Schizosaccharomyces pombe: one gene and its partner. Changing the gene in region 1 together with any one later gene gives a genetic interaction. Each region holds a gene or a part of one and is shown in the gene's direction. Other genes may lie near its edges.

Region 1 (6,509 bases):
ACCTACCCGCCCAATGTGTGGATTTTCATTAAAGGCGATTCAAATTCTTTCATTAGAAAACGTTGCTTCCGATAAATTAGTTACGTACAACGTTTTGAGTAATGATGAGCTACGTGAAGGTATAAAGGAGTTCAGCGACTGGCCTACGATTCCTCAACTTTATATTAACGGAGAATTCGTGGGCGGTAGTGATATCTTGGCGTCCATGCATAAATCGTAAGTAATGTTTTAAACTGTATTTTTATTATTTGGTAGAGAGACGGTGAGGATTGAGGAGGTGTCATAGGAAATGTTAAAGATGATGAAGGAGGATTCTACAACTGTTTAATCACTCTAGTTGATATTAAAGATAAAAAAACCCTGTTATATTTTCGCTCTTTCTTCAAATGAACTTTCCCTTTTAAAGCATTGGATAAAAATCAACTATTAGTGTATCAGTGTCTTTAATTCGTCGTCTATATATGCCACATTGTTCTCTCCCTCATTTTTTCTCTCATATTTAATTATTTCTCCTTGTCAACATTTCTGTATTAACAATTTGTCTGTAGAGGAGAGCTTCACAAAATTCTAAAAGAAATAAATGCTTTGGCCCCTGAACAGCCAAAGGATAGTGAAGAGGAAACTACTAAAAAGGATTGAGTCCACATTGCAAATTAATTTGCACAACGTACCACGGTCTTGTGCATTTTTTAGTTTATTGGTCAACTTGACACCACAGGCCATGTATATCAATCAGACGTTATTCAATTATCTTTTTGCTGTACGCTTGATATTCTTTAATGAAGCTTTGAAATTCTGTTTCTCCTCTTTTTTGTGTTCATGCCCTTTCATGACAAAATGTTGGAAATAATGTAAAAGAGCTCTATAAGAAAAAATAATTTTTATCGGAAGTTATTTTTTGGATCAACCTCAATATCAATTTGAAAGCGATCATGTTCATGTTCATGTCCATCCAAATGACATAGAGAATGGAAATTAGTGTCGTGATTTATGCCTTATTGTTATTCCTTGACTTTTTTTTTAAAAAAAATGTCGTAAATTAGATTTAATGTTAAAGCGCTATTGCTGAATACTGTTTTATTTTGCTTATGTTGTTGCACAGAACAATGTCTTGGTAGGTGTAATTCACAGAAAGCATTACGATTGGTTATCTGATATGATTTAAAAATTCTTCTTTGATTATATAAAGTACTGGCTTATCGACGTTACGAGACGTTTACCAAACTTTTATTAACAGATGCTTGTGTTTCTTGACAAACAACATTATTCCTTCCAAGCTCAGCATATAGCGAATTATAGTGTAACTGCGATATAAAGTATTAGCGAACTCTCCCTTTTTAATTCTATTCAAATTGCGTTAGTTTGTGTAGCATGTAATGACGGCACGCGCATAGTGAATTGTAATATACAAAACGCTACACCAAAGCGCGCGCTCTAAAACACGCCAAAACGAGGTGCACGCAACTTAGCTTGCGCGAAAGCGCGTTTCTCGCGTCGCGTCGCGTTTACTTCTTTTATATGCTTGCTATGCCTGTCTTTTGCTTTTTCACTGACACTTTGACTTGTGTTGAGTTACAAGAAAGGCTTCAAAGGCACTTGTACAAGTGTAATTTCCCTTTTACAAGACTCTACCAAAGGTTGGATCCACCTTGAAGTCCTTCTCTTGTTGTCGCTGCTTTTTGCGTTTCTTCTTTTCTCTTTGAATATTCCTTCTTTCTAATTTCTTTTTTCAAATACATGCTATAGGGATCAGTTTAGGCTCCATATACTAGGTTGAGCTGGTTTTAACTGTAAACAATAGTAAATTAAGCTTTCAGTATTTTGAGTGTCAAGCTAGTTTTTACTCCGGAGTATCTTATTTCTACTGTACTTATTTTCTTTTAATTAATTTTTTACACTTTTCAGCTGCTAAGTGTCGGTTTCTATTGTGTACTTTACCGTTTTAAGTTTCTTTGTTTTCTTTGTTCTGGTTCGCTTATTGTCCTACTCTTTTACAGGAGGCGCTTGCCAAAGACAGTCATTTCTCTTATAACAAGTACACTATATCTTATTAAAACATAATTAATCGTCCCCTTTCGATATTAGTGCAACAATTGCTATCCTACAGTCTTCCCAATTGCAATTTATTTAGCCTTTCAGCATTGCTCTCGCCCTCAAGCTGAAAAGGTTTTACTCGCTTTTCTTGCTGGAAAAATAACACCTACATTTGTTATTCTTTTAAATTCGAACTATCAAACTTATTTGCTTGTATTGTTCGTCTTAGTGCTGCTTTTTCTGATCCATCGTTTGTTTATCAAACCTTCAACTTTGCTTTTTCTAAACTAATTACAAAGAAGTGTTCTTTTTAATTCTCTTCGTTAATCATTGTCCCTTTAAACTACGCTCTTGTGCTTTATAAGAGTTAATTCTGCATACCTCAAAGAGGTAAATTCATTTTCGAATCGAACGTTAAAAAATTTATCTTTACTTTTTTTTCTTTCTCAATTTTGATTACATCTGCTTGTTTTTTTTTTTCGTTTATATCCACAACAGTAGGTTGGTTTGGTTTGTTTACACAATTCATTTGTTTATGTTTGGACGATTTCTTTCCCTTTCTTCCTATCAACAACAATAGAATAATTCGGACCCATTGATTTATTCTCATTTAAAAGAGAAACTTTAAAAATTCGCTATAAGTGCTTTCTGTTTCTCGATCGCTCAATTTCCCTAATTTATCCATCTTGTCAATTGAGATTAATTTACCAAAAACAGTTTCCTTATTTTAATAAAAAGAAGACATTTTTGGTTACAAACAATCAGATATATTTCTATACGTTGATAAAAGGGTAATTTATCAATCCATATTTCATATGGCTCTCTATTCAATTTCAAAGCCTGTTGGTTCTAAAATCAATAAGCATAGTTATCAAGATGAAAACACACTTGTTGGCAAACAAGCTTTATCAAAAGGGACTGAGAAGACAAAATTATCTACAAATTTTGAAATTAATCTGCCACGTCGAACTGTCCTATCTGATGTTTCCAATGTAGGTAAAAATAATGCTGATGAGAAGGATACGAAAAAAGCGAAAAGATCGTTCGATGAATCTAATTTATCTACAAATGAAGAAGCTGATAAACCTGTCGAATCTAAATTCGTGAAAAAGTTGAAAGTTTATAGCAAAAATGCGGATCCATCTGTAGAAACTTTACAAAAGGACAGAGTCTCTAATGTTGATGATCATTTATCCTCCAATCCTTTGATGGCTGAGGAATACGCACCCGAAATATTTGAGTACATCAGAAAGCTGGATTTAAAGTGTCTTCCCAATCCAAAATATATGGACCAACAAAAAGAATTAACCTGGAAAATGAGGGAAATTTTGAATGAATGGTTGGTGGAAATACATTCCAACTTTTGTTTAATGCCCGAAACCCTTTATTTGGCAGTCAATATAATTGATCGATTCTTGTCGCGTCGTTCATGCTCTTTGTCTAAATTTCAATTAACAGGCATTACTGCTCTTCTCATCGCTAGCAAATATGAGGAGGTTATGTGTCCTTCGATACAAAACTTTGTTTACATGACTGATGGTGCTTTTACCGTAGAAGATGTCTGTGTCGCTGAACGTTATATGTTAAATGTTCTCAATTTTGACTTGTCCTATCCAAGTCCTTTAAATTTTCTTCGCAAAATATCTCAAGCAGAAGGTTATGATGCACAAACAAGGACATTGGGGAAATACCTAACAGAAATTTATCTGTTTGACCACGATTTATTACGATATCCTATGTCTAAAATTGCTGCTGCCGCAATGTATTTGAGCCGCCGATTATTGCGTCGCGGCCCATGGACGCCAAAGTTAGTTGAAAGCTCTGGTGGGTATGAAGAGCATGAATTAAAGGAGATAGCGTATATTATGCTTCATTATCATAACAAGCCTCTAGAACACAAAGCCTTTTTCCAAAAATACTCCTCAAAAAGGTTCCTGAAGGCTAGTATTTTTGTTCATCAACTCGTCCGTCAACGATACTCAGTCAATCGTACGGACGATGATGACCTTCAATCAGAACCGTCTTCTTCTTTAACAAATGATGGTCACTAACGAACGCTCTTATAAATTTTCTTACGCAAATATTCTGTTGAATATGAGGTTGAGCTCTTCTTTTATTATTTATTATCATAACTTATTTACTTTTTAAAGAGCTTCTTTTTCTTCTTCTCTTTCTTTGAATCTTATCATCTTTATGCAAGGACTGTTTTCAAGTATGTCATCAAGCCTTTCCTCCTTGATAACTAAGTCCTTAATTATATACCATATACCCAAGTTTTATCCAAGAGTTTTAGAATTGAAAATTTTGTAGTCTACTAAACAAACCGTGTTGATGCTTAATCCTCACACATTGTCTTTTAGATGATTCCGTTGATTCTAGAGTATTCGATAATTTCATTCCTTACTTTATGTTACGTTTACATTTTTTATTTCAAAATACGTGTACGTTGTTTCCTCATATTTCTGTTAAACAACATGTTTCTAATTAATGGAGTTTTCTTTATTCATTCATAAAACTTAAAGCTCAAGCGGTATATAACAAACTGGCTAAACCATTAATAGGCAAAAACCAAGTAACTCATAAAGATAAACAAAGAAAGTAGACATAAGGAAAAAGGTAAAGCTGACTCGTTTTCTATACAAAAAGGGAATTTTTAAACCTAAGAAACAAACTTTTAATTGATAACAAATATAGAAAAAGAAGGCGATTTCCAACGAGAATAAGGAAATAAAAAAGAAAAATTCGATAATAGAATCACTGTTATTCTGTCTCATACATTCGTCTTAAATTAATGAACATTTGAGCTTTTTTTATCGAGAGCTTGGCGATTGTGAGAAATCCAAATGTCATGCCCACCTAATCGTCCGCTGGCTTCACTAACAAGTGTTGAGATAGGAATCATTAAAGCTACGCTAGTAGCTGAAGAAACAGAAGGTGAACGGATCTTCATAAATCTCTGTTTTACACGGGGACGAAGACGTTCAGGAAGCGCTTCCATCTGTTTATCAAATTTGGAGTTGTTGAGTAGGTGGCGTATCCTTCCTCCTCTAATGCGTTGAACGAAGCCAAGGGAATGACGAATAGAGTCAATAACTTCGTTGGGAGATGTGGGTTCATACGGGATAAGACTAAGGGATTCAACATCATGATCGGTTGAACGGCGCTTAGAACGGAACCTAGGATTTAGAATCCAAGAGAAAACAGTGTCAATTGTCTTAACCGGAAGGACCTTTCTTAGGAAATTGTTTGGTACACAACGAATCAAGGCTCCAAGTGGGATAGAGATAACACCAAACACGATGGAAATCGCCCATCCTTTACCATCGATTCTTTTTACGGAGAATGCGGCACCTCCGAAAAAAACAATTATAACTTGGATACCAGCAACAATAACGAAAATAGCAATAAAGAGGAAGTTATGGTTAATACGTTCAAAAATATTGAGCTTGTTATCCAATCTCCGATTGTTAATTTCGTTAAACAGCTGGAGCCAGACAAAGGTATTGAAAACAATAGTATTCATGTCCGCAGTATTGGAAGGGTAATGGAAGATACTATTACCAGCAAAGTGTAGCACCAAAGTAACAGCAAGTTGGTACATAGATTGACAAATAATCATTTTCCACATGTCAAAAGTAAAAAGCGATGCACCTGGTTTCTCAGGTTTCCTCTTTAACACTTCAGGAGTAGGAGGGTCAGTGGCAAGTGCAAGAGCAGCAAGTGTATCCATAATTAAATTAACCCACAAAAGCTGAACAGCAGTTAAAACAGAGCTTTGGTCAGTCGAGGCAACAGCAGAGATAATAGTCAAGAAAACAGCCGTAATATTCACGGTAATTTGAAATTGCAGGAATTTTTTTACAGCGTCGTTAACGGTTCTTCCCCAAGCAATTGCTTTCACAATTGACGAGAAGTTGTCGTCCATAAGGATAATATCGGACGCCTCCTTGGCAACTTCGGTTCCCGATTTACCCATTGAAAAGCCGACGTTAGCTTTTTTTAGTGCAGGCGCATCATTGGTACCATCACCTGTAACCGCTACTACGTTACCAAGCTTCTGCAGTCCTTCAATCAATAACTGTTTGTCCAAAGGAGATGAGCGTGCAAGTACATCTAATTTGGGTAAGATTTCTAAGCGTTTCTCATCAGAAAGAGATCGAAATTCCGGTCCTTCCATGGATATTCCATCCTCTGTGTAAATTCCGCACTGCGAAGCAATAGCCTTAGCAGTAACAATATTATCACCAGTAACCATACGAACAGTCACCCCTGCACCTTGGCAAACCTTTACAGCCAAAGGTACATCTGGCCGAATAGGGTCCATGATACCGAAAAATCCTAAGAAAGTCATGTCTGTAAATGCGTCTTCCCATTTCAAAGGATTAGAACTATCCTCGTCATTGGTGGGAATATCTTTGGGAGGCCAAGAGTCAAACACACGATAGCATAAACCTAAAGTACGAAGAGATCTTTTG
Region 2 (4,200 bases), 2.7 Mb from region 1:
TACTAAGCTCAGGGGTATCGGTAACGGGTTTGCTTGCGACGAAATCCAAAGTTTGATGTTGCCCGGAGGAATTTTGGTTATGTACAAAAAAAGTGGATTCGTTATTTTCCGATTCAAGCTGAGATGAAGCCCTATCAACTGTAGTCGACGATTCTATATTGGCTTTGATATTGTCGTTCGAAACAGGCTTATCTTCAAGTTTGTCAACAGCATCTAAAGATGAAATTTGCATTTCTTTTGGCGTCGTATTCAATACTACAGAATCGTTGTTAAACTCTTTTTCATTCCCAGCTTCAGAAGTTAGATTTACGGTTTCAAAAGTCCCTTCCATTCCGTGAATGGAAGGAACCTCGTGGACTTCATGGTCTTCATTTTCATGCTCAAAAGTTGTAATTAAATCAGATGTCTGATCTTCCATATCAAGAGTGTCATTATATTGAGAGTTCGTAATGTATGCATTCTCAACTGAAGTACTAGTTTCTATCTTTTCGACTTCTGGAGATGGTGGTTTAGGAATTGTCTCATCATTATCATATATTTCTTTTTGCGACGATGAATAGTTTTCGTCACCCTTAAGAGTCGTTTCTAAGTCTTCCTTGCTCAAGTCTTCTTCAGAGAGTTTATCGTCTTCATCCACAACAGGCTCATCCATTATGTCAGAAATAATGGTTCCAGCAGTAATTTTTACCAAGTTATCATTTGAAGACTCCTCTTCTGTGTGAGCCGATTTGTCGCCAATGGTATTTTGAGGATTAATTTCCTGCACATTGTCCAAAGAATTACTCTCTATTAAGTTGCTTTCTTCTTTAACACCTTCTTTAGGCTCAGAGGAAGGCAACTGAATGTCAATTTCTGAAACTGACTGTTGAGAGGAGCTATTGGCTATGTTGTTTTCAACAAAGGAATCCATAGGTTCAATTGTGCTTTGTTCTTTTCTAGAGGTAGAAAAAATGGTGTTTTCATCTGTCACATCAATATCGTCAGCTTCAAAAGACTTGCGTATAGAATCATGCCGTCCTTCAAGATCAACAGAAGACTCCTTAGGCTCGTGGTCTGATTCAATATCCATTCCTTGATACGTTAGTGCCCAATATTATATTACTAAGACGAAAAATTTAGCTTATTTTTTAAACGAAAAATAGGCAGCAAAGTATACCAATAAATGGAGGATAAAACAATGCTCAAAGTTGTAGGAAAAAAATTGGCCCCTAGCTTTCCATGAGAAATGGTCAACCAAAATTTCACAAACAGTAATCGAAAATAATAATAGGTAGGTTCAAATAAAAAACAATCAACCACAAGGATATAGAAAATGGTAGGAAGTTTGTTGATGGCGCCAGTCAGTATCGAGAGATTAAAGTCAGAAGCAGAATAGCATACATCCTTATACTACGCTATATTAATTGTTCGTGAATGTTGTTCATAATTCTTCGTAAGGGTAAATATAGTAAACAAAAAAGCTATTCAAACATTAACGCAATTATTGAAGAAGAAACGGCTCAAGTTATTATATGTTTGAATACTAAATTACTCTTGATGAAAGTGTAAATGATGTGCAATTAGCAAACATCAACGGTTACGCATTCGGTATGAATATGTATTTACAAATCTTTAGAAAAGTAGTATTTACAAAAGCGTTAGAAATAACTTTTAAAAAAGGCTTTCAAAGATATAACATAGGTAAATTCCTTTTCTTATATCTCTGTTATTTTATAGCTTCTATTAGAAGCGAGCTAAGAATGGTTAAATACCTTTTCTAAATGCGTTTTGCCCACTTTTCTTTAAAAATATTTGATTCTCCTTATTACTCAGTAATGTATCTTGCATTTTTCTAACGCGCAGTGCGGTAGGTTTGCTATTCCCTGCCAACACTGTGCTTGTCCATTGCTCTCACGCGAAATCTACGGAACAGCATTTGCAGTTCAGGTTTATAAGATTGTTGTATTTTAAATTATTTAAGTCCAGTATTGCTGTGCAAGTTGATACTGTTTGGCACGCATAGCACGAGGACTGAAATTCCATTAAAATTTTAAAAGCTTTATCATTTTCTCGACACTCAGCACTTTACTGACTGTCGTTTAACGTTAATACCTTTTCTTTACCTTTTAGTGCATTATTCTATCCTTTGGATTGAACTACAAATTCGTTAGGTGTTGCTCTTTAGTTCCGGCAGCTATAAAATTATTATTCTTTATTTTATTCTTTTCGACAATAAACTATAGCATTTTTATTTCTTTCCCGCATTCTAGAAAAAATGGAAAACTTGGAATCCCCTAATTATGAACCAGCACTTGTCTATGAATGGATAATTCAACTTGTTTCTGGGACATCTCGCGAACAAGCTCTTGTCGAACTATCTCGTAAACGAGAACAGTATGAAGATTTGGCTCTTATTTTATGGCATTCATATGGTGTGATGACGGCTTTGTTGCAAGAAATTATCAGCGTTTATCCTCTTTTAAATCCACCCACACTTACAGGACCAACTAGTAACAGAGTGTGCAACGCGCTAGCTTTACTCCAGTGTATCGCTTCTCATCCTGAAACTAGAATCCACTTTTTAAATGCACACATTACTTTATTTCTATACCCGTTTTTGAATACCCTTTCAAAATCCAAACCTTTTGAATACCTGCGCCTTACTAGTTTAGGGGTGATTGGTGCATTAGTTAAAAATGACTCTCCAGAAGTAATCAACTTTTTATTATCTACAGAAATTATTCCTCTTTGTCTCAGAATCATGGAGAACGGTTCTGAATTATCAAAAACCGTTGCGATTTTCATCGTACAAAAATTTTTATGTGACGACGTTGGTCTTCAATATATTTGTCAAACATATGAACGCTTTTATGCAGTTGCGTCGGTTTTGAACAACATGGTAATGCAGCTTGTAGACTCTTTTGCTTTTCGTTTACTAAAGCATGTTATTCGTTGCTATCTTCGTCTTAGTGACAATCCTCGCGCCAGAGAAGCTCTAAGACACTGTCTACCAGAACCTTTACGTGATGCTACCTTTGCTCAGGTTTTAAAGGATGATCACAACACTAAAAAATGTCTTGCCCAATTGTTAATCAACTTATCAGACGTCGCCGTTGTTAATCAGTAATCGTTATTTTTTTTTTTTTTAAAAAACTTTTCTTAAATGTTGAATTAATTATTTCAATATCTGCCCTTCGTTTCCTATCTGGTTTACTTTCAATCATAATTTGTGACCGTAAGTGATTGGCATATGGCGATTTTTTGTGTTATTCGTCCGTCACCAATTTTTTCTTGTGTCTTTCTTATATCTTCCTTTATTATTATTTTTGCCCTGTCATTTTTCACTCCTCTTAATGTGCTCAAGTTATTCCTCAGGACAGAACTTACTCTGATGGCTTTTTTAAGGAAATCAGGGGTTTACTGTTAATTTTGCTTACAATTGTTAGATTCAGGATTTCATATCCTTTTCTCTTAATCTTTCCTTAAAATGCGTCACGAATGATGATTTTTACGAGTCAGCAAAATTTAAAAAAAAAAATAGAAAAAGATATAACATTCGCCGACGCATTTAATGTTTTTAACCAAAACACCTTTTTTCCTATTTCGTATCATATATACTTATACTATTTCTACAATATTCAATTCAGTTTCATCGATTACCTCTAATAAATTTAAAGAATTCGTACAATAGACAACAGAATTTGATTTATATTTACGTTCGTTAATTCTGCTATACTTCATTCAAGCAAATAATCAGATAAAAGTAATTTGAGATAATTTGTCCTCCTAATTATAGTGTTTGTCATATGCGACTACCAAGAATTACTAAATTTGCTTTATATCGAGAAAACCCTTGCCTACTCCCTCTTTATCATGCCACAAGAGATCCATCTTTGGCTAAAAGAGAGTGGACGTGGATATGCAAGGAATTAAAGCTGCTGTATCCAGAAATTAGCAAACATGGGTTGCGAAAAAAGATAGTAAATGCCTGTCAACTTCGAGCAAGAAACTATCCACTTCAGTATATACTGAAAAGTCAACCTTTTGGTAATATCAAGATAGATTGTCAACAAGGAGTTTTAATACCTCGTTGGGAAACAGAAGAATGGGTTGAACGTGTGGTTGATAAGCTAAATCGACTCGAGAGATTAAAACCGTTAAAGATTCTCGATTTATGTACAGGGTCTGGCTGCATATCAAGCTTTGTGTTGGCAAACCTAA

The links.
Region 2: of cig2 (region 1) and rcd1, changing one suppresses a phenotype caused by changing the other (phenotypic suppression), as found in Schizosaccharomyces pombe (one study listed by BioGRID).

Annotation. Positions count from the first base shown.
Region 1 is NC_003424.3:2,708,231-2,714,739, forward strand, and holds cig2 (G1/S-specific B-type cyclin Cig2), read left to right. Parts: upstream 1-1,551; 5' UTR 1,552-2,849; coding exon 2,850-4,085; 3' UTR 4,086-4,822; downstream 4,823-6,509. Other genes in the region: mitochondrial [2Fe-2S] cluster assembly and transfer glutaredoxin Grx5, read left to right, coding at 1-216, 549-639; P2 type calcium transporting P-type ATPase Pmc1, read right to left, coding at 4,823-6,509. UniProt on the Schizosaccharomyces pombe protein: Essential for the control of the cell cycle at the G2/M and G1/S (mitosis) transition. Interacts with the cdc2 protein kinase to form MPF. Interaction with res2 promotes the phosphorylation of res1 and inhibits MBF-dependent gene transcription.
Region 2 is NC_003424.3:5,416,866-5,421,065, reverse strand, and holds rcd1 (CCR4-NOT complex subunit Rcd1), read left to right. Parts: upstream 1-1,892; 5' UTR 1,893-2,254; coding exon 2,255-3,106; 3' UTR 3,107-3,700; downstream 3,701-4,200. Other genes in the region: multidomain vesicle coat component Sec16, read right to left, coding at 1-1,069; mtq1 (S-adenosylmethionine-dependent methyltransferase), read left to right, coding at 3,786-4,200. UniProt on the Schizosaccharomyces pombe protein: A differentiation-controlling factor that is essential for the onset of sexual development. Induces ste11 when sexual development is invoked through nitrogen starvation.